2 linked regions of the Lytechinus pictus genome follow. Each later gene encodes a partner of the first gene's protein in a complex. Links are inferred from orthologs where the notes say so. Each region holds a gene or a part of one and is shown in the gene's direction. Other genes may lie near its edges. The genes, in order: inhibitor of growth protein 3-like and vacuolar protein sorting-associated protein 72 homolog.

Evidence for each region.
Region 2: inhibitor of growth protein 3-like (region 1) and vacuolar protein sorting-associated protein 72 homolog share a complex: the UniProt entries of both Homo sapiens proteins name them as parts of the nuA4 histone acetyltransferase complex. The link is inferred for Lytechinus pictus from reciprocal best matches to the Homo sapiens genes ING3 and VPS72.

What each region holds. Positions count from the first base shown.
Region 1 is NC_087247.1:64,844,268-64,857,449, forward strand, and holds the start of inhibitor of growth protein 3-like, read left to right. Parts: upstream 1-6,782; 5' UTR 6,783-6,850; coding exon 6,851-6,878; intron 6,879-13,182. UniProt on the Homo sapiens protein: Component of the NuA4 histone acetyltransferase (HAT) complex which is involved in transcriptional activation of select genes principally by acetylation of nucleosomal histones H4 and H2A.
Region 2 is NC_087247.1:35,238,929-35,251,696, forward strand, and holds the start of vacuolar protein sorting-associated protein 72 homolog, read left to right. Parts: upstream 1-8,089; 5' UTR 8,090-8,171; coding exon 8,172-8,194; intron 8,195-9,347; coding exon 9,348-9,492; intron 9,493-10,308; coding exon 10,309-10,461; intron 10,462-11,003; coding exon 11,004-11,130; intron 11,131-12,768. Other genes in the region: lysophosphatidic acid phosphatase type 6-like, read right to left, coding at 769-857, 1,933-2,063, 2,883-3,014, 6,682-6,963. UniProt on the Homo sapiens protein: Deposition-and-exchange histone chaperone specific for H2AZ1, specifically chaperones H2AZ1 and deposits it into nucleosomes.

The sequences.
Region 1 (13,182 bases):
AATCTTGTGGGAAAGTTTTTTTTAAGTAGTTTTAAAGTAGTTTTTTAGAATTAATTTAGAGATTATTATACAAACTCATTTCTTGTTTATCCATTGGCAGAAAAGAATCCTATATATATATGCCTATAGGACTACGGTAAAATGATGAGATTCCTGCGTAAACGTAGGGCTACCTTAACAAAAGCTGCGTTGCAGTTACGAAATTGTGTGTGTGTGTGTGTGGGGGGGGGGGGTGATATGCTTGCCACCCCAATATTTTCTTTGATGGGACGATCGCCCCCTTGCCCCCCCCCCCCCCCGGATCGACGCCTCTAGCTGCTTGACATGACAGGCCTGGGCCGATCAAGTCAACTACTTTTTTTTTGTTTTGAATAATATTTTATTTTCTTCCTCTTTCAAATCAATAAGTTTACAATCACAATTCATATAAATAAAGATTCTTTGTATGTATACAATCAATAAACAATCAAACAAATAAATATATCAATATCAATGAGATTACGAATATTTTTAAAATGATTACAAATGAAATTAAACTGCCAAATTTCTCTTCTTTAACAATGTGAAAGCAGAGGGGAAAAACCCATATCAATCGACAAAAAAAAAACAAAAAAACGTACTTTGTAAAAAATGACCTTTTCCCTGAATAGAATAGAAATAATCTCTTGCACATATTAATTGTACAAGAAATAAAAAAAGGATAAAATATTATTTTAAAGGTTAATTAGAGGAAGGTTATCCTAAAACGTCCCTACACACTCACCTTACCCCCATACCCCCTCCCCCCTCATCTCTCTCCCCAGACACTCACACAAGCTCACTTCAACTCACCACTACTCACAGCTCTCCCCCCCCCCCCCCCTCTTCCCCATCACAAAACTCACACATCCATCTACACACGTACACCCACACACAATGCATCCTGCTCTGGTACAACTATCTGTATTTGAACAAATAAACAAAACAGAAACAAAATGAAGCAACCAATACATCCATAGTATTAAGAAAGGTATGCATTGATTTGTTCCCATTTCCTTAAGTGCACCCCCAGCTTCCCCTTTTTAAACGCTATTTTATATTCCGTGTCTCTATACTCTTTAACCAAATGTGTCACTTTCTGTACGGTTGGCAATATTCCCTGTTTTCTTGAACTAAAAATGATATACTTAATTAAGAATATAATACAGTTTATTAAAGCTACTCTTGTAGTATTTCCAGATATCCCCATGAAAATTGTTTTCCAAACGTCACTGCCAAGTTCATTCAGTTGAAATATTTTACTCATCTCTTCCCATAATCGCTTAACTTCAGGACAATAAAAAAATAAATGTTGGTAAGACTCAACTTCTTTTTTACAAAAGGAACAGAAATTATCTGTCTCAAAACCGAATTTAGAAAGTTCCCTTTTTGTGTACACAGCCCCTTGTAATTGTTTGTATTGAAATTCTCTGTGTTTATTGCATAGCATTGCACATTTCAGTCTCAAAAATACTTCTTTCAGTTCCCCCATTCCCAAATCATATTCGGATTGCCCATCTGTAACATGAAATACATAATCAATTTGAAAATTTTCAATGAAGTGGTCATATATTCGTCTAGATTTTATATCACATAGTTTCTGAACATGCCCACATATCATCAATTGAATTTCAAAGTTGTTTGTATCCATTTCCATAAAATCATTTTGTATTCACTCTTCTGTTATTACTGAAAATATCTTTTGAATTTTGAGCAAGTTTTCAGATGAAAATTTCAGATTATACCAGTATGAAACTGGTCTTAATTTACCTCCAACTATTATATCCGAGACCTTAACTATACCTTTCTGAAATAATTCAATATCAAAAAAGGTCTTATTATTAAGGCATAGACGCTTGTTATTAAAAATAATGGGATTACTTTTCCCTCCAAAATGTCTTCACTTATCCAATTCGTGCCATGCCTTCAGCATATCTATGTAAAATAATGGTATACCTTTTAAATTCATTCTACTCGTATCATAATCACACAGAAATATGATTCGACCACCTAAAGAGCTAAAAAAATATTCGAAGGTTGCTTTCCAACCCGAACTTTTCCCTCCATCTAGCAAACGTTTAATCCACATTATTCGTTGGGTCTTAACAAAGACCTCAAAAAAATTTGGAGCTCTCAGTCCTCCAACAGAATAGTCTTGATATAGAACTAAACCTTGCGTTTTATTCTATCTCTTCCTCCCCAAATAAAATTAAAAGAAATTCTTTCTATTTCCTTAAAAACGTCTTTTGGGACTGTCATCAGGGAAGAAACATAATTTAATTTTGAAAATGCATACATTTTCAAAAGTTTTATTTTACCATACATCGTAAGATCTCTCTGCTTCCACCAACCAATAAGTCTTTTAATTTTACTCAAGATTTCCTTATAGTTCAAGTCATCTTTGACTTTACAATCCCGTGCGAAATATACCCCTAAGATTTTAATATGTTGTAACCAATGTCCAAGAAGTGGTAAACCAGGTCTATCTCTTTCTTCTCCCAACCATAAAAAGTTTGTTTTATCCATATTAATCTTCAATCCACTTAAATTTTCAAAATCTGAGAATATTTTCTTTACTCTATGGATCGAGTTCATATCTTTTAAAAACAATGTAATGTCGTCTGCATACAGAACTTGTTTTATTTCCCGTTTCCCAAATCCTATCCCTTTAATATTAACATCTCTCCTAATATAATGAGCCACTGGCGTAAATCCCGGGGGGGATGGGGGGGATATATCCCCCCCACTTTTCGAGGAGGGGGGGGGATGGCCTGTACAAACATCCCCCCCCCCACTTTTTGCGAAATAAATAAAAAAAAAATCACAAGAGATAATTGTTTTATTGGTGAAAATTCTTCCTAAAATACCGCTTAACAAATAAAACAATATTATTGAATCATAAAATGCAAATAAAGAGCCAGTTCACCATTTCCAAACGAAATACTTATGTCCTTATTATAACATTGAAGAGAAACCCCCGTTTCTTCCAATTCATCAATGTTGGGGTCTTTGGGAAGGGATTAAGATGGAATGTCAATTTTTTTTAAATGTAACCTCTAATAAAACCATTAAACCATCATGGGGTAAAAAAGATAATAATATTGGAGGGGTATTTGCCATATGGACATACAGTGGCGTAACTACGGGGGGCATGGGGGGCACATCCCCCCCCCCCCCATCGGCTGACCCCAAAAAAAAACGGGGAAAGGGGAAAAGGAAAAAGAGGGAGAAAGGAAGAGAAACGTAGTGGGAAAGAAGAAAATATTATTCATTATAATGTTATATTATATTATAATTATGTTATGTTACATTACATAAGAAACATATTTATCATAACTTTATGAAACATAATTTGCCCAGGGCCTACGTCTTCATTGTTCCTGGTGCTCGCATTGTCTGTTTAACGTGATATATAATCCTGTTGTACTAAAACATCCCGTTTTCAAGTCAATATAAACCAAATATATTTCCTAGCACTTGAGTTATCATTGTTTTATGTAGTGACATATGCTTCTTTTTCACGACTCAAAAAGTGATTGCCCAATGTTAAGGTCTTCGTTTATATGAAACATTTCCTGTCCGTGATTACGTTCGCATTAGTGGATTGGTGAGATATGTCTGCTTTTCATAAATTCCTAAAATCAGTCCTTAAAATGTCCCTTCTAATCTGAATATCAAACATTTTCAGCTCGCGCTTTGCGCTCGCATCATTTGGTTAATGGAATACGTATGGTCCTAGTTAATTCTTACAAAAAAACCTTAGAATGCCCCACTTCAGGTCTGAATTATCTAAATTTTCAGCTCGCGCTTCGCGCTCGCATTGTTTAGCGAGACAGGTACCTATCATGTTTACACAAATTTGATTATAATGTCCCTTTTTAGGTGTGAATATAAAAAAATTTCAGCTCGCGCTTCGCGCTCGCATTATTTGATCAGTGAGATACATATCAGTTTAATGACATTGTCCTTAAAAATGTCTCTATTAGGTCAGTATAACTGGCAACTGAGCGCGCTCACTAGCGCACTCACTCAGTGATTCAATTTTTTTGCTGGTGCCCCCCCCCCCATGCCGTGACCCACGGTACGCCACTGTGGACATATCAATGGCAATTCCTTGCATATCTAAAAACATGATTGCAAAAAAAATGCCAAAATATTTCAGTCATCCCCCCCACCCATCAACACGGATTTACGCCAGTGTAATGAGCTAATAATTCAATCGCTATGATAAATAAATATGGAGAGAGTGGATCCCCCTGCCTTACTCCTCTATTAACTTCAAAATATCCCGTAGAATGCCCCCCGTTCAACACGCAACTACTAACATTATAATAAAGAGTTTTGACCCAAGAACACAGATTTTTCCCAAACCCGAAATGTTCTAAAGTTTTGAATAAAAGTTTATGAGAGATACAATCGAACGCCTTTTCAAAATCCACTGCAATTAAAAAACCTAAGGGTTGATACAAAGACTGAAAAAACATATCATCAATTAACCGAACTGCTTCCCCAATATTACGATCTTTGACATAACCCACTTGATCACAATGAATAATATCTCCCAAGACCTCTTTCACCCTTGTCGCTAACACTTTTGACAAAATTTTATAATCTACATTCAAAAGAGTTATCGGCCTATATTATAGTTTTTCATGTGCAAAGGATTTTTGCCTTCTTTTTCAATTAGAGTAATTACCCCCTGTCTCTGCGAATTTGACAACATTTTAACTTCAAAACTCTCATTGAAAGCTTCAACTATGATTTTCCCTAAAAGTGGCCAAAATGTAAAGTAAAACTCTGCGGTAAAACCATCATTGCCAGGCGATTTATTCCATTTCATTTCCTTTAAAGCCTGAAAACATTCTTCATGTGTTATCGGATATTCACAAAACTCTCTATTTTCTTTACTCAATTTGGGTAAATCACTAAAAAACATGTTTTCAATATCATCATTAGTTTCAAGATTTTTACATGCATATAAATTTTTATAAAACTCCCGAATGATTTGTATAATACCTTTGCAATCTCGCACCGTTTCCTCATTTTTATTATAAATCTTCTTAATCGCACTAATTCTCCTTTTATTGGATTCAAGTAATTGTTCAAAGAACTGTGAATTTCTTAGTCCTTCCTCAAACCATTGGGCTCTTGAACGGACCTTTAGACCTTGACGAGAATAGTCGAAAAGTTTATCTAGTTCCTCTTTTTTAAATTCAATTTCGTTTTGGATATCAATATGAAAAGTGATCGTCAAGCGATATTCTAAATCTTTAATTTCTTTTTGTAATTTTTCAATGTGAATTTTTCTGAGTTTTGCTCTTTCACGGGAAAATGCCATTATATATTCTCTTAACTTCATTTTCATAAATTCCCAAAATTTAATCTTGCTTGTTATTTGGTCCCGCCATATTCTTTCTATTTCAGAAATCTTCATCTTTACTCCGTCTACAAAATCTTTATCAGAGCATAAACTGCTGTTAAACTTCCAGTACGATCTCCCATATGCAAAACTTTCGACTAAATTATCAAACTCGACCTGAACTAGCATGGTCAGGAGTGATTGAGGGTAAAATGTTTGAACTTTTCACGTCTTTTTCTAATTTCGAGGAGATAAAAATATAATCCAATCTGCTCTGAACGAAGGGATTATTTTGTTTGAAGGTAAATTCTTTCTTTGTTAGGATGCCGCTTCCGCCACACATCAATTAGATTTAGCCTATCAAGAAAATCCACCAATGAATCTTTATATCTATTCTTCGAAATATTACTTCCACCCATGTAGTCTAAGTTTCGATTCATAGCAATATTAAAATCTCCTCCAACAATAAGAGAATATTCTTGACCAACTACAGAAGATAAAACTTTGTCTAAATCAGACAGAAAATTACATTGTGAGTTTTCTTTATGTGGGAAAGTATACACTGCCCAATATAATCTTTTCACCTTGACACTTTCCTTTAATTATAACATATCGTCCTTCTTTATCAATGATAATTTTTTCTTTGAGAAAATCAACCTTTGATTTAAACATTATGATAACTCCCCTACTGTGGTTACTTCCATGACTGAAAAACATTTCCCCCTTCCAATCAGCCTTCCATCCACCTTCAGTGTCTTTTGTGCTGAAAGTTTCCTGCAAAAATATTATATCCCCCATCATCTGACACCACTGAAATATTTTATTCCTTTTGATTCTATCTCTCAACCCTCTGACATTGACCGAAAGTAATTTTAAGTTACCCGACATCAATTAACACAAAAAGTCTAAACCTCTGACAAAAAATTTGGAACAAAAATATGAATGATAATATTACTGCAAATTGGTAGCTTGATTTATTTAAAATGACAAAATAACCTATTAAACTAAACTGGAGATGAGATAAATACAGACAGACACCAGAACTGGAAAACATAACACCCAACATATCATTCCCCTTCACCCCAACAAACATAACACATACACTTCTGCAAACATACTCAAACACATTCCCATAGACTGTCCCTACTATGAAACCCAAAGAAGAAAGACTTTTCTTCATGTCCTAAAAACAAATGCAAATTATGAATAGACCTATTTTGAGGCCTCTCCCATCCCTCCTGTGATTTGAAAACTAAAATTAAAGATTCAAAGTTATTTTCACAAAATTTATCACTCCCTCCTAAGAAAACAACTAAATTACCTCACTGATCCCAGTGTTTATACTGAATATAACAACTACCTACCGGCCGTCAACATGGTCAAAAACGCCATCTGCCGTTCCAATATTACAGTAATAAGTTGAGTATTCTCCGAAGTCCAATCGCTCGGTGATTCCCTGGAAAATATTCGAAGATGTTGTATTTGGAAGATTACCTTGAGAGTGAGTAAATTGTTATAATTCACACTTCTAACTTTAACTATAAGTTTCGATGTACAAAAAGTAACGTACAGCTTATAATATCGGTAATAAATGGGAAAGATCATTTTGCGGGAATTTTAAATGTGTGCGTACGGTGCGGTACCGGTACCCAGTTGTTGTGTGTCCGGACGATCAATTTTAGAAAGTCATTTGGAAAAATTTACAAGCGAAGTTTCATCAATTTTTAGTACAAAATGTTAGGAAATATTATAGAGAACAAAATAGAAGATGATTACAACTATTGAATTCATATTTTTAGTGTAATCCAAAGACAAAAAGAAGGCTTCAAAAATATAAAGTGTCCGGACACCCGACCCCCCATCCTACCGTATCTACTGTTATGGGATAGAAAGGGGTGCTCGTATTCGGTCAATCCTTTGAACGTATGCCCACAGCTTTCCATTGAGAGAATGTACAATTAATGGCAGAGTATTTCCGGTCACAATATTTTGCATGCTGTAAAGGTCAAGTCCACCCTAGACAAATGTTGATTGGAACCAATTAATAGAGGGATTTTCAGTTAACTTATAATGTGGTATGTGGTGAAAGTTTAGTATGTATATTATGTGGATTGTGGTTTGTAAATTGTATTTGGCGGAACAACCAAAATACAGAGACTGAAGCTTTTGGTCTAGTAGGCCTAGTATAGTAGTAATTAGTATGGGGCTAGACCAAAAGCTTCAGTCTCTGTATTTTGGTTGTTCCACAGAACTGCGTTGGCTCACTCACCAATAGTTACATAGACTGAAAAGCTTGGACTAGTTGGAGGCCCGTACGTACAGACAACTTATTAATATTAGCAGTAACGTTAGATCTAACATTCGGCGGAAACCCGATTTTCCGATCGCTTTTTTGTACATAAAATGTCACATTATGAAAAAGAAATCACATCCATATTTACGAAAAAATGTATAAAATTAAGAAATATCGTACCTTAGACCGCAGTTACCGCTAATTCTAGGCACTTCAGGTGAAAATTAGGAAAGGCTGTTCCAGCATATTTGATGGGCTCACAATGAGGCTCAATATCTACGATTCACAAAACTGTTTGAATTTTCAAATTCCGATATCTAGAAGTCGAGTTATTGTCATCTTTGTGATGAAAAAACAGGCCTTTTTGTGGACAAAAGAAGATTGCGAAATCTTATTATTCTCTTTGTTTTGGGCATGGCACATTTATAATACATAGCTTATGGGGAATTGTACAAGCTTTTTATTTAAATCTTAAAGTACTCAGATTGATTTGACATATTGGCATATGATTTCTTTGGTTCAAGGGCAACTACCCCTGGACGATAACCCCCCACCCCCCACCCTCGGACAATTCCCCTCCCCCCACCCCCACCCACCCTGGACAATTACCCCCCCCCCTCCGGACAACTACACTGTACCCCTATCCAAAAATCTACACCTAACCTAACCCTATTTCGGGGGTAATTGCCCTGTGGTAGGTTTGTGCACAGGGTAAACATGACTTGATATTGATTTTCTTTGCTTGCCTTGAACATTAGAAATTAAGTTTTCAATGAATATAATTTGTAATCAAAGAAAGAGAATTAAAATAATAATCTTAGGATTTCTAGAAAAAAATAAAAAGAGATTGATTTCAATTGTCTATTATCTCATTGTCTTGTTATTATGGTCTCAATAAAATTGTTGATATTATTATTGTCTCATCATCGTTTCATTATTGTCCCAATAAGTATTATAATTATGATAATTATTATTATGATAATTATTTTTGTTTCATTAATATTATTTTCTGAATAATTATTACAATTATAATTACTATCATAGTAATTATTGTTATAATTATTTCATAATAATAATTATTATTGAAATAATAATTATTATTGTCTCAATAATTATAAGGCCTATAATTATAATTATGATTATTTTTATGATTATAATTATAATTATAATAATTTTTATAATAATAATTATTGATGACTTATCAATATTACTGTCTCAGTAATTATTACAAGTACAATTATTTTCATTATAATTGTTATCATTATAATTATTCTATAATTATTATTATTGTAATAATAGTTATTTGTCTCAATAATTATAAGGCCTTTAATTATAATTATGATTATTTTTATAATCATAATAATTTTTATAATAATAATTATTGATGACCTTTCAATATTACTGTCTCAGTAATTATTACAATTATAATTACTTTCATTATAATTGTTATCATTATAATTATTTTATAATAATTAGTATTATTGTAATAATAGTTATTATTGTCTCATTAATTATAAGGCCTATAATTATAATTACTATAATTATAATTGTTTCTACAATTATATTTATTTTAATTATAAGTATTATTATTATGATGATTATTATTGATATATCATTAATATTATTGTCTCAGTAATTATTACAATTCAAAGTACATCGTTATAATTGTATAGCATACTAACCTCGCAATACGTGTGAGTGTCCTGAACCGGATGCCACATGAGTCCATCCATCCTATATTCATCTCTTCTCTTCTTCCTTTCTTTCCTTCCTTCTTTTTACCCTTTTCTTTCCTTCATTCTTTGTTACTTTCTTTGTTTCTTTCTTTCTTCCTTCCATCCATCCATCATTTTTTTACCCTTTCTTTTTTTTTTTTTTTATTTCTTCCTTCTTTAAGCCCTCTCTCTCTTAAATTAATTCCTTCCTTTCGTCTATCTGTCTTGTTCTTTCCTTTTTCCCTTTGTTAAATCTATCCTTTTACCTTCCTTTTTTTTTCTACTGCTGGCTTCCTTTCTCTCCTTTATTCTTTCATTCCTTCCTTTCTTTGTCTCTCAGTCCTTCTTTTTTCTCCCTTTCATCTTTTCTTTTTTTATATTGCTTGCTTCTTTCCTTCCCTTCCTTTATTTCTTTCCTTCTGTCTATCATTTTACCTTTCCTTTATTTCTTCCTTAATTCCTTTCTTCCGTCTTTCAATCCTTCCTTCCTCTCTTTCTTTCTTTTGTCCTTCTTTCCATCTCTCCTTTTACCCTTTCCTTTTTATTGCTTCTTTCTTTCCTTTACTACTTTCTGGATTTGTTCTTTCTTTCTGTATTGCTTGCTTCATTTCTTTCCTTCATTTCTTTTTTCTTTTCTTTCTTTCTTATTTTTGTTCCTTCTTTACTCCTTCCTTCCTTTCCTTCTTTAGTTCTTTCTTTTTTTCCCTTCCTTATATATGACAAAAGGCAGCATTCATGAAAACAAAATATTAGGCTCAGTGTCACAGACTGAGGTCAGTCTCAATTGCTTGAGGATAGCTGGATGTAATAACTCCTAGAATCTGCATGTCATTCAAGCTATTTTTAGAAGTTAGTTAATGATGAAAGTTTAGCTCTTGTTTTGGTATATTTTTCTGAGAATTAACGGTATGCCACATAATATTAGGATAAGATGAAGCTAGATCTGGCAACATACTCAGATCACAATCTGTATCATTTGTGTTTGAACAATACAATTGATTATCTTAGGTATTTGCACTGACAATTTGGAGCATGATAAAATCCCAACTTGTGAATTCATGAGATCATTGATGATATTGCTTCAAAGTATCTGACTTTCACCAACCTCAACTTCTTCAGTGATGGCACGGGCTCACATTTAAAAACAACTTTGTATTCAGATATCTGTGTTACATGATGTAGCTCTGTGAATCCATGTATCTACAGTGGCACATCTTTGCAATATCACAAAGCAAAGGGGCTGTGGAAGGAATGTGGCGAGATCAATAAAATAAATTTATGTCATAGTATTTTGGTCAGCCATAATCACGATTTTAATGATGTATCTTCATTTGTACACAAGCAGCGCGGACAATGCAACAAAATTAGATACAGCTACATTTGTCAGCAAGCAAGATCGTAAGATTTAGAACATTCAAGATTTGATAAAAGGATGATTATACTCAGGATGATATTTATTTTGAACGAAAAAAATCTCAGAAGCGATTTACAAACATTCCGATTACCTTTCAACTCATACTCGATAATGAAAGACTGGTTTCCAGGTACTGCTATTATATTTTGAAATACTTTTTAATATCATTTTTTTTAATCTTAAAACTGACATTAATACAAGTACATATTCTTCATCATAAAATACATTTCATAATATGTTCATCTTGGATTTATACAGGTCTGGTACATTTTGTTCTCACAAAAAATAAGATTTGGTCTTTTCAGTGTGTCGTAACGGTACTATAAGTAGATTAACTATAAGCATTGTATTCTATATGAAATTATCATGTAGGCTATAGCTATTAAATTAATAATACCTGCCAATAATATCTACATGTTTTTCTTAAGAATGTTAGTCAAAGTATTTTGCTGTTACATAATTACATTCATTATTCATATTTCTTTCATTTTGAAACTAAGAAGTGCTGATGAAGTTCACTTCCTAAGGGTGTCATGTCTGTTACGCTAGTGTATATTGTCAAATAGTAAGCCATGAATAAAAAATAATCTTTACTATCAACTTTTTCTCTTTTAATTAGGTGTGGCGGATGGTAGTAACTGGAAAATACTCATTAACTGTTGTTAACTGGTGTAAAAGAAATTTTTCTAAATATTTTTTTGTTTTATAAATATTGTATGAAAGCCCCTCTCTCAAATTGCAAAATAATAGGAGATATTACAGATTACCAGTTATGATGTGTGTCTCTAACCTCTAGCTCCTTAACATGTAAACAATTAGACTTGTACCATAGCAGGGTGCTACATAACTTTTTTGAAGCACTTGCCCAGTCGGGCAAGTAAGTTTTCAAATAGTTGGAAAATACTTGCCCGAATATAGATTTCACTTGCCTGAAAAAATCCTTCAAAACAAAGTTTTATTGCTTCAAAACAAGTTATAGGCTTACGGATTTACATACCATACCATTGACGGCTTTATTAAATTATCATACATGTAGGCTATAGCTATTAAATTGATAATACCTGCCAATAATATCTACATGTTTTTCTTAAGAATGTTAGTAAAAGTATTTTGCTGTTACATAATTACATTCATTATTCATATTTCTTTCATTTTGAAACTAAGAAGTGCTGATGAAGTTCACTTCCTAAGGGTGTCATGTCCGTTACGCTTTTTCAACATGACTACTGATGTACCTCGTAGCTGTATTTCTTTTTTTAAATGATTTTTATCTTGTACATCATGACAAAATATATGGTCAATTTCCTAATCTTATATATTTTCCAAATATTTTGGAGGGGACTAGGACACACAATATTAAAAAAAGGGGAAATCACTGAAAATAACCAGAAAAAAAAAAGAAATTAAGAGAGGGGGAGAGAATGAAAGAAAAAAAATAAGAAAGACAGAAAGGAGGAAGAAATAAAGAAAGAAAAAAAAGAAAGAAAGAGAGACAGAGAGAATGGCTGCGGGGAAGAGAAAGATGGAAAAAAGAAACGAAAGAAGGAAGGAAAGAAAAAAGGAAGAAAGAAAAAATAGAGAAAAAACTGAGGGGAAGAGAAAGAAAAGAAAGAAGGAAAGAAAGGAACAAATAAAGAAAGAAAAAGGTAAAAGAAAAGAGAAAAAGAAAATGTAAAGGGTGGATGGAAGGAAAAGAAAGGGAAAGAAAGAAAATGAGAGAAAGGAAAGAAGGAAGAAAGAAAAGGTAAAAGGATAGATGGAAGGAAGGACAAAAAAGAAAGAAAGAAAAGAAAGATAGAATGAAAGACAGAAAGAAATGAAGGAAGGAATGAAGGAAGGCAGAAAGAAAAAATAAGGAAGAAAAGAAAGGATGGATGGAAAAAAAAAAGATCAAAAGAACGAAAGACTAAAATAAAGAAAATCATACAGAAAGGAAGGAGAAAGAAAGAACGAAAGACAAAAAGAAAGGAAGGAAGGAATGAAGGAAAGAAATAAAGAAAGAATGAAAGGGATGAAGAAAGTAAGGAAGAAAAAAAAAGAAAGGAAGAAAAGGTAAAGAATGGATGGACGGAAGGAAGACAGAAAGAATGAAAGGAAGGGGAAAAAGAAGGAAGGATTAAAGAAAGAGGTAAACAGGTTGGATGGAAGGAAGAAAGAAAAAAAGACAGAAAGAAAGACAGCTATAACAGAAAAACTGAACGAAAGAAGGAAGGAAGGAAATTTAAAGAAATAAAGAGAGATTCAAAAGAAGGAAAGATTGGCAGAAAGAAAGAAAACAGAGAGGAAGAAAGCTCAAACTATCCAGTCATAAATAAAGAAGAAAATTTATCAATTTCCTTGGCAAAAAAAAAAATTACGAAAGAAACCACGTTTATCAACATAC
Region 2 (12,768 bases), about 30 Mb from region 1:
GCCTATGACTGATCAAACACGTATTTGATATTCTGAACTGACAAACGATGAGGTTCTGTACTCATTTATTGGGAATAATACTGCCATATCACATCAGTAGAATGCAAAGTTGCGATAGAAAATGGATGCTCACACCCCTTGTTCTTTTTTACATGTATCATATGTATCATCTTGTTACTCATTTGAAATAGGCTCTCTTTTCATTTGTTCTTGTATATTACTTGGTTTTAATTGTTTGTATCTTTGGTGGCAGCATTTCGTAAGACTTCAATGTTCTTCCAAGCTGTCTCCACATTCTATTTTATTGTATATATATTTTTACCTTGTAATTATTTTTAATTTTAAGAAAAATAAATTGAAATTGAATTGACAGATTTGTAGAAATGAGTTTTGAATGAGACACTGGTAGTGTGTGCATACTTGCATGTCTTTCTTATGACAATCATTAACTAGATTTAAGATATTTTACATCAAGTGACAATATGCTATATGTTAATTGCTGTTACACCAGTAAAAGTCATATACCTGTACAGTGCTAAACATGATATTATCTCTATTTCTTCTTGAATCAACTTTTGAAATATCACAATCTAATATTGACGGATTATTGATGAAATGAGAGGGATGCAAAAGACAGAATTATCTGTAACTTTAGTGTTTGCAAAGATTAAATCAAATTATCTTTCAATGTCTAATATCATCCTAATATAATAAACAAGCATTTCATGAATTAATGAAAAATTTTCATGAATTAATGATAAATCTTACACTCTTTGGCTGAAATAGTATCACCGTATAAACCACCAAGCAAACATCCAAGTGACTGCAATGTTCTATTAATATTGGTAGATCTGGTACTGTAGTCAAAATAAGAGAATTTTAAACCAAAGTTAAAACAATGTAAATGATACGATTCTCCTCACCACACATGGAAAAGAAATAAAAACAAGAAAAGGTATATTATTGTCCTAATTTTGTGAAAAATATAATAATAACTTACTGAGTTATTTACCTCAGATGACCTTTGAACTTAAATTTATGCTATTTAGTTCATACAAGTTTCTTTAAATATGATAAAAAATATTTAAAATATAATCATTTTTTAATATGAATATTCATCATAGTGCAATGAACTGAATGACCTCTGACCTTGAACTAATAACCGGTCATTCTAGTTGTGCGATTGGCCATACTTGATAACCATTACGTCTGTATTCTAGGACTTCCCTAAGATCTCGGCTGCTCATGATAATAAATTGGATGGTAGAAAATTATGTAATCTATGGGGTTGCATAGCTAAATTTCACTATTCATGCAGCATGAAAGTCAAATTTGGCTGTCAATCAATGATTGATACAACTGAACTGCTAATTTTTGTTTAGAGACTAATTGGGCAATTCTCATAAAGTGTGTTTAAATTTTGTGTATTTCATTGGTTTTATTTGATATTTTGTATTTATTTTATTTCATTTTTAACTCTTTGTTCTTATCTGTTTCTTCCATGGAAATTGTTCGATATACTATTCTGATTATAGACAACATGAAATTAATTGATTTCAATCAGTAATTTAAGTAAATATAGGCCTAATGATCGATTTTAGAATTTTGGCTAGAAACAGAATTTGCATTAGATAGTTATGTGAAATCATGCTTGCTGCGTTTCAGAGTCTGACATTAACTTACAAAATGTTGTTTGACATTGAAACTTCGAACACAGGCATCAGAAATCAGTTCCATATGTTGCATAAGACTTAAAATAAAAAAAAGTAATGACACATTTCAGTGCAAGCTTTTCATGTTACAGTTTTATCTTGCAAAAGGTTGAGGCGAACCACAATGCACCCCCTGGGTTACTACAATCTATACTTGATAAACAGGCACTTCATTATTATATTTGACCATCATGAAACTTTGGTTCTACTAAACACTTACTATACCAGTTGTGGATTGAATTCCTTGGGTAGGAATCCAAGTTTCTCCATGTAATGTCTTCTCAATTCCTTTCCAAGATCATTGGCTTGTTTCATACCTTTGGCTGTAAGTTGACCTTTAAAAGATCCACCCTGAGTATTACAGACACAAGGAAAATATGTTTACATGTAAACTTGTTTGTTTGCTGGTTTCAGTGAAATGCAGTGCAGTTTGTCCTATCATCAATATTGTTTGAAAAATAATGTAACACTGTAATCTAAACATATCATTTGGCAAATGCATAACAGTTGGCAAATAAAAAAATGACAAAACACAAATCTATGAAATGCTGTTTCCAGTTTAATATAAAGAAATTCAAAATTTCAAAAATCAACAAGAATTTTAATAAAAATACTATGAATAGTTCTGGTTTGCTGGAACTGAATTTTCCTATCTACATTAAAACTTTCATATACTGATTTCAAATCTGTAATCAACCAACCAGCGCTATGGAAATAAGATTACACAGTGGGATCATTTCTGCATGCTTGAATCTATTTGCCTGTAGTGCTATAAAAGTACATTAAAAAATATGGTTGCACATATGTACATGTACACAGAATTAAACAATTGTATTTAAGCCCCCCCCCCCAAAAAAAAAAAAAATCCTGCACAGTAATCTCATTTTTAGAGTCCAACCTGGTTGATTGAAATCCAATATCATGAAATTCTTATTAAATTTTGTTCTAATGAAGCTGGTTAACTGTGACACTTTGATTTAAATTTATTTATTCTATTGGTCTGCCTACATGTATGTGCAAAAGATTGCATCTCCTGCACACTGGTGACTGGCTTGAATAAAGCACAGGAAGCCTGTATTGCATTTGTATGTTATTTGAAACTTGAAATTTTGTTACCACATGATTTATGAAATTCATCCAAACATGTGAATATACTTGTAACAAACATACCTTTAGTGGAGCCTTTCTGTAGTACTGCTCAATTTTCCATTCAGGCTGTGGTCTTCCATCTAAAGCCCTAACTTTGTAATCAATGCATAGATCAGCTTCTCCTTGGAATAAAGTATCTTTATCCCAAACGCTCTGTAATAGTGACAAAAAAAGAAATGTTTGATTAATAATCTTGCATTCTTCAAGTTCATTTGAAATGACACAGCGTAATTCACTTCATTTTCCACTATTTCCAAATCAATCTGCGAAGGTTAAAAAAAATGATTTTAGTTCACGAACCTCTTGAAATATAACAAGTACACTGTTGACCAGTGAACAGATTAATTTTTGTACACATACTGTAAGCTCAATACAGTGATTGTCAGGTGTCTGATCAATGATTTAAGTAGTCCAATGTAGCATTTGTTTTCTTTCAACATCCTTTATGCAAGCCTACTTGTAAATAGTGCTGCTCTCTTGTTGTTGCATTTTATTTTGCATTTAAGAATTCATAACATTACTTCTCTGTTCATCAGAGATATTGTATTTCAAATCAAATTAAATTAGAAAAGGCATAACAAAATCACCTTTAAGTGTGTTCACTGTGCAATCTCATTTATGATAAAAAAACACTATATATATCTTGATGGTGAGTATGATGATGAGCAAAGTGATAGTGATGAGTTTACTTAGTGATGACAGCACTATGACTGGCCTAGATATATAAGACAAGAAAGGAATATGATTTCTGATGAACTATATTATAATACAATTATAATAAAACAAGTGGAACGCCTCTGGCAGTCTCGCCTGCATTACGCGATTTTAGCAGCAGTGCTAACTTTGAAAACTACTATAAAATAATCATTCACAAAAACATCATTCATATAATGACATAATACCGTTCATTGACCATAAATGACATTTGAACGGTGACTTAAGACTTGTCAACTACACCCATGTCCACATTTCATTCACTCTATCTATAAACTTTCAAAGTTATGATGGCAATTCAACAATTACCCCAATTGACCTTAACTGACCTTGGTTTTGTGACCTGAAACTCACAGGGGATGTTCAGTGATACTTGATTACTCTTATATTCCAAGTTTTATGAACTAGATCCATAAGCTTTCAGAGTTAGGATGGTAATTCAACAAATACCCCCAACACGGCCAAAGTTCATTGACCTTTGACCATGGTCATGTGACCTGAAACTCGTACAGGATGTTCAGTGATACTTGATTACTCTTATGTCCAAGTTTTATGAACTAGATCCGTAAACTTTCAGAGTTAGGATGGTAATTTAACAAATACCCCCAACACGGCCAAAGTTCATTGACCTTAAATGACCATTGACCTTGGTCATGTGACCTGAAACTCGCACAGGATATTCAGTGGTACTTGATTAACCTAATGTCCAAGTTGCATGAACTAGATCCATAAATTTTCAAAGTTATGATGGTAATTCAACAAATACCCCCAACTTGGCCAAAGTTCATTGACCCTAAATGACCTTTGACATTGGTCATGTGACCTGAAACTCAGACAGGATGTTCACTAATACTTGATTAACCTTATCTCCAAGTTGCATGAACTAGATCCGTAAACTTTCAGAGTTAGGATGGTAATTTAACAAATACCCCCAACACGGCCAAAGTTCATTGACCTTAAATGACCATTGACCATGGTCATGTGACCTGAAACTCGCACATGATATTCAGTGGTACTTGATTAACCTAATGTCCAAGTTGCATGAACTAGATCCATAAATTTTCAAAGTTATGATAGTAATTCAACAAATACCCCCAACTTGACCAAAGTTCATTGACCCTAAATTACCTTTGACCTTGGTCACGTGACCTGAAACTCGAGCAGGATGTTCACTGACACTTGATTAACCTTATGCCCAAGTTTCATGAACTAGGTCCATATACTTTTTAAGTTATGATGTCATTTCAAAAACTTAACCTTCGGTTAAGATTTTGAAAATAATTCTCCCAACATGGTCAAAGTTCATTGACCCTAAATGACCTTTGACCTTAATCATGTGACCTGAAACTCAGGCAGGATGTTTAGTAATACTTGATTAACCTTTTGTTCAAGTTTCATGAACTAGGTCCATATACTTTCTAAGTTATGATGTCATTTCAAAAACTTAACCTTAGGTTAAGATTTGATGTTGACGCCGCCGTCGGAAAAGCGGCGCCTATAGTCTCGCTCTGCTATGCAGGCGAGACAAAAATAAATTGGTTTGACCCCATCCATCAAAGTAGCAACCACATCTACCATAAACCTAATTGATATTTTTTTTTGCTGGTATACAAACAAAGATGACTTCTGCTCACTATAATCATGCATCTACTAGATATACTGTAATCAAAGTCACCAACACCTTTGCTACATATAGTTTTAGGGATGTCAGTATATGGGAATATATACTAGTATAGTAGTAATAAAGACTTGCTTTGCAAATTGATCAAAGAAAGAAATAATATTGAAAACAAGGCATTATTTTTTTCAAACCAAGGATTTATCAAGGTCAGAACCCAAGTTGTTTTGTCTGTGGATGTCTGGATGAAAAAAAAAAGAAACTACAGTAGAAGGCTACAATTAACAAATATATCAGGCTTTGAAAAAGTATAGTGGAATTTATCTGAGGTTGGTCTGGCAATTACTATTTTTCCCGAGGGGCGAAACCCCGAGAGAAATATATTAGTTTTGCCAGTCCAACCGAGGACTAATAATTCCCACTATGCTTTCAAATGAAATGCCTGATATATTTTGTTTTATATCCTACTTTTAATAATTTATAACCAAAATCTATGCGCTGAGCTTGCAAAGTCTGGTTACTTGCGTTGAATTACCTACTTTTCTCCGAGCCACCGCGCTCAGCGAAACGCAGATTAGTGCCTGCGCCAACGCATCAAGGGACTTGCCCGGCCCGGGAGAGAGAGCTCGCTGGCCGGTGCGCCCGAGAGTTTAGCTAAATATCCAGTTTTCTGAAATAATGACGTCAGAATATTGGTATAGCGAAAAATATATCGAGGTCTGACGTCACAAACATTATAGTTGAAATATATTTGGTCACATGATGCTATTTGAACCAATCACTATACAGGATTCAATCTATGTAGGATTTATCAAATTTGCTTATAATTCATATCCCTATTTTGAAAAATCATATGTGGCAGATCGCCTCTCATACAGTTGGATTGGACTCATGGGAGAATCTCTCCCAAATTAACCTAAGACGGCTGTAGAAATCACATAACATTGATAACAACATAAACGATGATCACATCATTTCACATGAGAGTTTCTTTCATAGATCTTCCTTTCATTCTTTCTTTCCTACTTTCTTCCATCGTCCTTTCTTCCCCACTCCCAGCTCATTCAGCCTTCATTTATTTCATTTTCTCTGTCCTTTCCTTTCTTTCTCCTTTCATCTCTTCCCATTAAAGAATCTTTTCTATCTTCCATTCTTTTTCTTTCTTCCTTCCTTTCATAATACTTCTTTCTTTCTTTGGTTTAAATTGTCTTTTCTCTCTTTTTTTCCTTCCTTCCTTTTGATTCTTTCTTTCTTGATTCCTTCTTTTCTTGCTATTATCTTTCTTCTTTTTTATTGTTCTTTTTCTGTGTTTATTTCTTACTTTTCCCCCTTCCTTCCTCTCCCCCCCCCCCCCCCCCCCCCCCCGCAACAAGAGCAAGTGCAAATTGTTGGCTGGTCACTTCACTTGCACTTGAATTCTGAAATGTGAAGAGTGAAAATAAAATGTAAGAAGCTGTGACTGTGAGATGGCCAATTTAAACACCCTACCTGCTCAGACTTTGGGATACATCCAGATCCTAGTGGCGTTCTAGCACCATGTCTAAACAAAATCTGCACAAACTTAAGCTCCAAATCATCACGTGTAACCAGCGGAATAGAGGCATCCTTGCAAGCCGAAGCTCTGGGGGTCTCTCCAGCTCCATTTCCGCTTGATGCTGAGACTGAGAAGGGCGAAAGAGACATCATAAATGGTATTACAGTCCCGACACTGCCCATCGTAGCTCCTAATATGGCAGCTCCGAGGTGTGGGGTTTTGTTGAAAAATGGCATTTCTTTATCTTTATTGATTATTAGTTTGTTTGAAGAAAAAATTTAACACAAATCCCAGGACCCAGTCAACTTGCACTTGCGTGATGAATGCACTAGTGTTATTTTTCGTAGTACGGGCCGGGGACGGATACGCATACGGATAAGGTACCGTATATACCGGTATACGGTAACCGGTACTTATCGGTATATAATGGGTGATTTCAAGTTTGGTGTTCGGTGTTGGTGTTGGTGTTGAGAGCATAAAAAGGCCGCTGAACCGAGCTCCAACACCGAGCTGGGTTCAGAGGAATGATACCGATTGCGTTATCGATAGCACATGACGTCACGCCTCTGCGCTGCGCTGCTAAATCATCTCAACTTCACGCGAGAAGTCTCGACGACGAAAATGAAATCTGAGAGAAATGCATTAAATGCTCATCGTTCAGAATACAAATGTTTTAATTAATTCAAGAATTCAAAAGAGTGAACATTATTCTTCATCAAAATATATACAGCTCAAATGATTTGTACTTAGCTAAACTGTAAAAGCTAATTTTACGGGGATGTTTCATCGTGTTCGCCGCCTGTTCAAGAGCTTGAGATTGCCAACACCAACACCAACACCGAACTTGAAATCATGATTTTCCCAATCCCTGGGGGTTGGTGTTGGTGAATGGGGAAATTGCACGTAGATCGTCAACACCAGCCGCAGTGCTGGGTTCAGCAGACGACATTCAACACCAGCATTCAACACGAACTGCCGGAAATAAGTCATATTTTCCGAGGTCAATCCCAACACCATCCTGATTTCAAGTACGGTGTTGTGGCTAGTGTTGGTGTTGTCACAACACCAACACCAGATTTCAACACCGTACTTGAAATCACCCAATGACGCAATTATCCTGCAGGAAAAAAATCTTTGCACAAGTCGGCGTTTAGTTTCTTCATTTTTTCACTCTTCTGGTAATATTTTCATAAGTTTTTAGTGAATCAAAATGCATATGACATTCTTTTACAATTATTCAAACTGAAGTATTACTTAGAGAGTGTGCGAAATAGAATTTATAGCACACCTAACGTTTGAAAGTTGCAGCCGGGCTAGGGACGTAGCAGGTCGTAGGCTAGGCCGCCGCGGTCCACGTACGCGGTTCGGCGGGAAGTTTCTCCCCAGCCTGGTCCGGCCATTCCGCGCCGCGCCTGTTTGTCGAGCCTCAGCGGTTCAAGTTTGGATGAATTTTTTGGTGTTGAGAAAGTGAGAAAAGCAACTGAACCAAGCTACATTGACATTCTAATCGTTGCCTTATCGTGAAATTCTGTTTTCGATCTTGTGTGTGTGTTGCCTGTTGGTATGATTATGAATACAGTGAAGTGAATAGGGTGACAGGCGCAGGCATAATTTGCAATTTGCGCACTTTTCAACTTCAAGAACTAACTTTAGATCAAGTCAATCTTGACGTTCATATGCCATAATAATCAATATAATGATTGTGGGCATTAACGGAAAGACAAGAAGACAAGATCTAACGTTAGCTTGCCTTTAGAAAAGAATAAGGCAGACAAGTCAAAGGTAAAATAATTGTATCAGATGGAGGTTGAAATGCCATGGGATTTGTTTTTATCCCAATTAACTATAGGGACATGTGCGTGTAAAAATGGCGTTTGCTTGAAAGTTGATGCTTGTCTAGACAACTGGCAGCCGTCTGTTTCGAAGAGTTTTTTTAAACATTTTATTTTTTTTATATATTTCTCCTCGTACACAGACGGCTCGCTATCGTGCAGCCACCATTAGGGGGTTAAAAATGCAAAATCCCCCTGACGGGGCTCATCGATTTTTGTCTTTATTTCATAAAAATATATAAAAAGAACTGTACCAAAATAAAGATTATCATTCCGTTTTGGCCTGAAATGCACCGAAACGGGGAAAAATAAACTTAAAAGGGGAAAAAACAGTGACTTCGGCTGTCGCGCAACTTCACTTCCCTGTTTTATCCGAACTTAATACATAAACAAATGGCCATTGAGTCCCCTGTACAGATCGAGCTAGAACTTCTGTCTCTGTATTCGGTGAGTGGAGCCAACGGAGTTCAGCGGAACAACCAACATAACAGAGACCAAAGCTTTTGGTCTAATGCTTGTCTACTGTCTAGAAGTTCAGATTTTCTTGGAACAATTTGTAAAATAAAACAGGTTCAAAGATGATAACCAGCAGGGATGGATCCAGGATTTTCCAAAAGGGGGCACATTTTCCTGAGGAAAATTTTGACAAGCATAAAAAAAGGTTTTTAACTATTAACAATTAAGGGTATTTCGTCCATGAAAAAAATTGACAAGCAAAAAAAAGGGTCTTCAGTTTCAACCAGCACTGGTACTTTTCTATTTTTTTCTTCTCATTTCTTATACCACAGTCCATTAGAGAATCACACTATTATAATCATGTCACTGGTCCAGACAAGAGAAAAGCGTGCCAATGCTGGCAGCAAGATGCACAGACTCCTTGCTGAAGAACAAGAGGATGAATTCTATAAAACAACATATGGAGGTTTCCAGGAGGTGAGGATTACTTTAAGTAAACAGTATAGATGACTAATTTGAGACTATTAAAGCTTGCATTTGCAGGCTGGTAACTATGGAAATGTATGCTTTAAGCATAATCAGTCTGCAAAATAATAACTTTGTATGAGTCTGCTCTCCATAAGACAAAAAGTTGTAAGAATTTAAAGTAACTACTGATAAAATTGTATTATTTGCTTATGTGGCATAAAGAGTTTGACTTACACAGAGTCACATATGTATAGGCCTATATGCCAGTTCATGTGAAAACTAGTTATTTATTGAATAAGATCATTCTATTGCAAAGAGTGTAGACCAAATACACATTTTTTTTATAATATCTAGGTTGTGTATTAATTTGTTCAGTGATATATGCTGATATCAGGCTGAAATGTAAATCCTACATATGGATTGGAATTAAAATTACTTTTATTTTTCCACCTAAAAGGGGGAAAATCACCTCATTCTGTTAAACTGATTCCTATATAAAATAATAATTAGAAAGTCAAAAAGGGGCCTAAGTTTTCGATCCTAGTAGAATCTTCGTCGGAGGCAAAATGACAAACATATAAAGTGGAACAACCATAATATAGACCACAAACAAGCTACAGCAACACTAGAAACCTAAAAAGTTATAATTAAAAGATTCAGAACAGGATCATTATCAACTCAAGTAACTTATACAAAAACTTTAGAGTCGCAAATTTCCCCATAGTTCAAATGCAGATAGACTACTGTTTTAAACCATCTTGAGGACCCATTTCTGAATAATACCCGATTGGTGTTGATAGATTCTGTTATATGTGATTACTCCAGGAATCTGGTGATGAGGAATATTCTAGTGAGGAGAGTGAAGCGGATTCATCATCTGATAGTGATATTGATGCCCCAGAGGATGATGAACCAATCAGTGATAGTGATGATGATGGACCAAAGAGAAAACGAAGAGTGATTACTAAATCCTACAAGGTTAGACCCTCTCTTATCCCTTGTCAAAGTTATAGTTTCACCACCTTTTCTTTGTAAAACCTTACTTTTTCATTTTTATTTTCAATCATTGTACTCTGTTACCTTATAATTTTTTCAAGGTATATATAGATAGTCAAAATTGCTCTTGCGATCATCTACTGAAGAATCACACGTTCGGTGTCCCTCATGTTATTTCCCCTATGTAAACATGTATGGATAATTAGATTTTAAAAATAACAAAGGTAAGGTACAGTTTATTTAATGTATTTTTACAACACTTCTGTGCATGTCATCACTTAAATAAGAGGGAGTTGATGTCATATACTTGCTTTTCTTTTTGTATTTTATTAAATGAAATTGCAATTCAGATTTACTTCACCAAGAATGTAAAAGTATGAGATTGCTGAAATAATGCTAGGAAATTGTCAGTAGTAGAAGTAGTCAGAAGTACTGTACAATCTGCTATTGCAAATCCCTCTCTAAATGATTTCTTGTTGCAACTTCTCGAGTTTGATTTTACTATAAATATCTTCCTATTCCAGGAGCCTGCCAAGAAGCCTGTCATGAAAAAATCTCCCACAAGTCACACCCCAAGGGAAAAGAAAGCGAAAATTACCACACCGAGCAGTAAGAAGAAGAAACATTACTCCAAGGAAGATTCCAGTTCAGGTATGTGCCATTTTCAGGATAGAACAAAGTCTTTAGTCCAAATGAGATCTCTGAAACCTTAAAGCTTGAGATTAAATGTTTTGTCAACCTTGATGGGACTGGCTGAATGAACTTCCTCAGTAAGGTTTTAAAGGTCAAGTCCACCCCAGAAAAATGTAGATTTGAATAAAAAAAGAAAAAATCAAACGAGCATAACACCAAAAATTTCATCGAAATCGGACATAAAATAAGAAAGTTGTGAAATTTTAAAGTTTCGCTTATTTTTCACAAAACAGTGATATGCACAACTCAGTGACATGCAAATGAGACAGTCGATGATGTCCCTCAGTCACTATTTCTTTTGTTTTTATTGTTTGAATTATACAATATTTCATTGTTTACAGATTTGGCAATAAGGACCAACTTGATTGAACCATATAGTATTAACCCTCAAGCTCCCGGGGTATTTTGATTCTTGTCATTCCCGGGGGGGGGGGGCCATTATGGCCCCCCCTTAAGATCTCGGCCGCCGATCGCGCGAGCGACACAAAAATTTGCACGCTGGTAGTGTGTGATGTAATCTACAAGGCTGTATGGTAAAATTTTCCAAAATATTGAGATTTTATTTTATATGAATTAATTATGCTAATTTATGCATAAATCATACTTTTTGCTCTAATTCACTAAATAAAGCTCCTAGAATGCTAATTTTTGGTAAAAATATTCTTTGTAGCATTCTTAACAATCGCAATAAAAAAAAACTTCGGTTTGGAAATCAATTTCTTATGTATTTTATTGTTTTATGAATTTCTTATGTATTTCTTTGTTTTTTTACTTTTGGTTTTTTATTGTTTTTTCTATGGAAATCGTTCCAGACTTAATTCTGATCATAAACAAGGCAAAATTAATTAAGTTTAATCAGTAAAAGTAGAAATAATGATACATTTATGAATTTTGGCTAAATACACTATTTGCATTGGATTTGTACATGAAATCACGTTTATGAGCAATTTTGGGTCTGACATGCACTTATATAATGTTGCGTAATGTCGTAACCGCGTACCCGGGCGTCACAAATTTGGTCTCAAAATTTGCGCGAGACTTGAAAGTAAAAAGTCAGTGAGCGGCGAGGTAAAAAAAATTCGCGAAGCAGATATATCGCGAAAATTGTCGAGGGGGGGGCCATTATGGCCCCCCCCGGGAGAATTAGGGTTAAACAATGCTAATTCCACATGTTCAGGGAGGAATTAATGTTGTTTCACTTGATAAGAAGAAAATTAGAATATTCCATATTTTATATAATAAAATACAAAAGAAATAGTGAGTGGATGACGTCATCAGTCTCCTCATTTGCATACCTACCAGGATGTGCATATAACTATTTTGTGAAATGAAGCAAAACTTTAAAATGTCATAACTTTCTTATTTTACATCCGATTTCGATGTAATTTTCAGTGTTGTGCTTGTTGGATTTTTCTCTTTTTATTAAAATATACTTTATGTTGGGGTGGACTTGTCCTTTAACTTTCAAATCTATGAATCCTTGAGCTGGGATGTTATGTTACTAAGCTGTAGATGTATGTTGCCTCTATGCCTTATGTAACTTCTTGAAACTCTATTTGGCTGACCAAAATGATTTTCGGCTAGCTGAAAATGAAG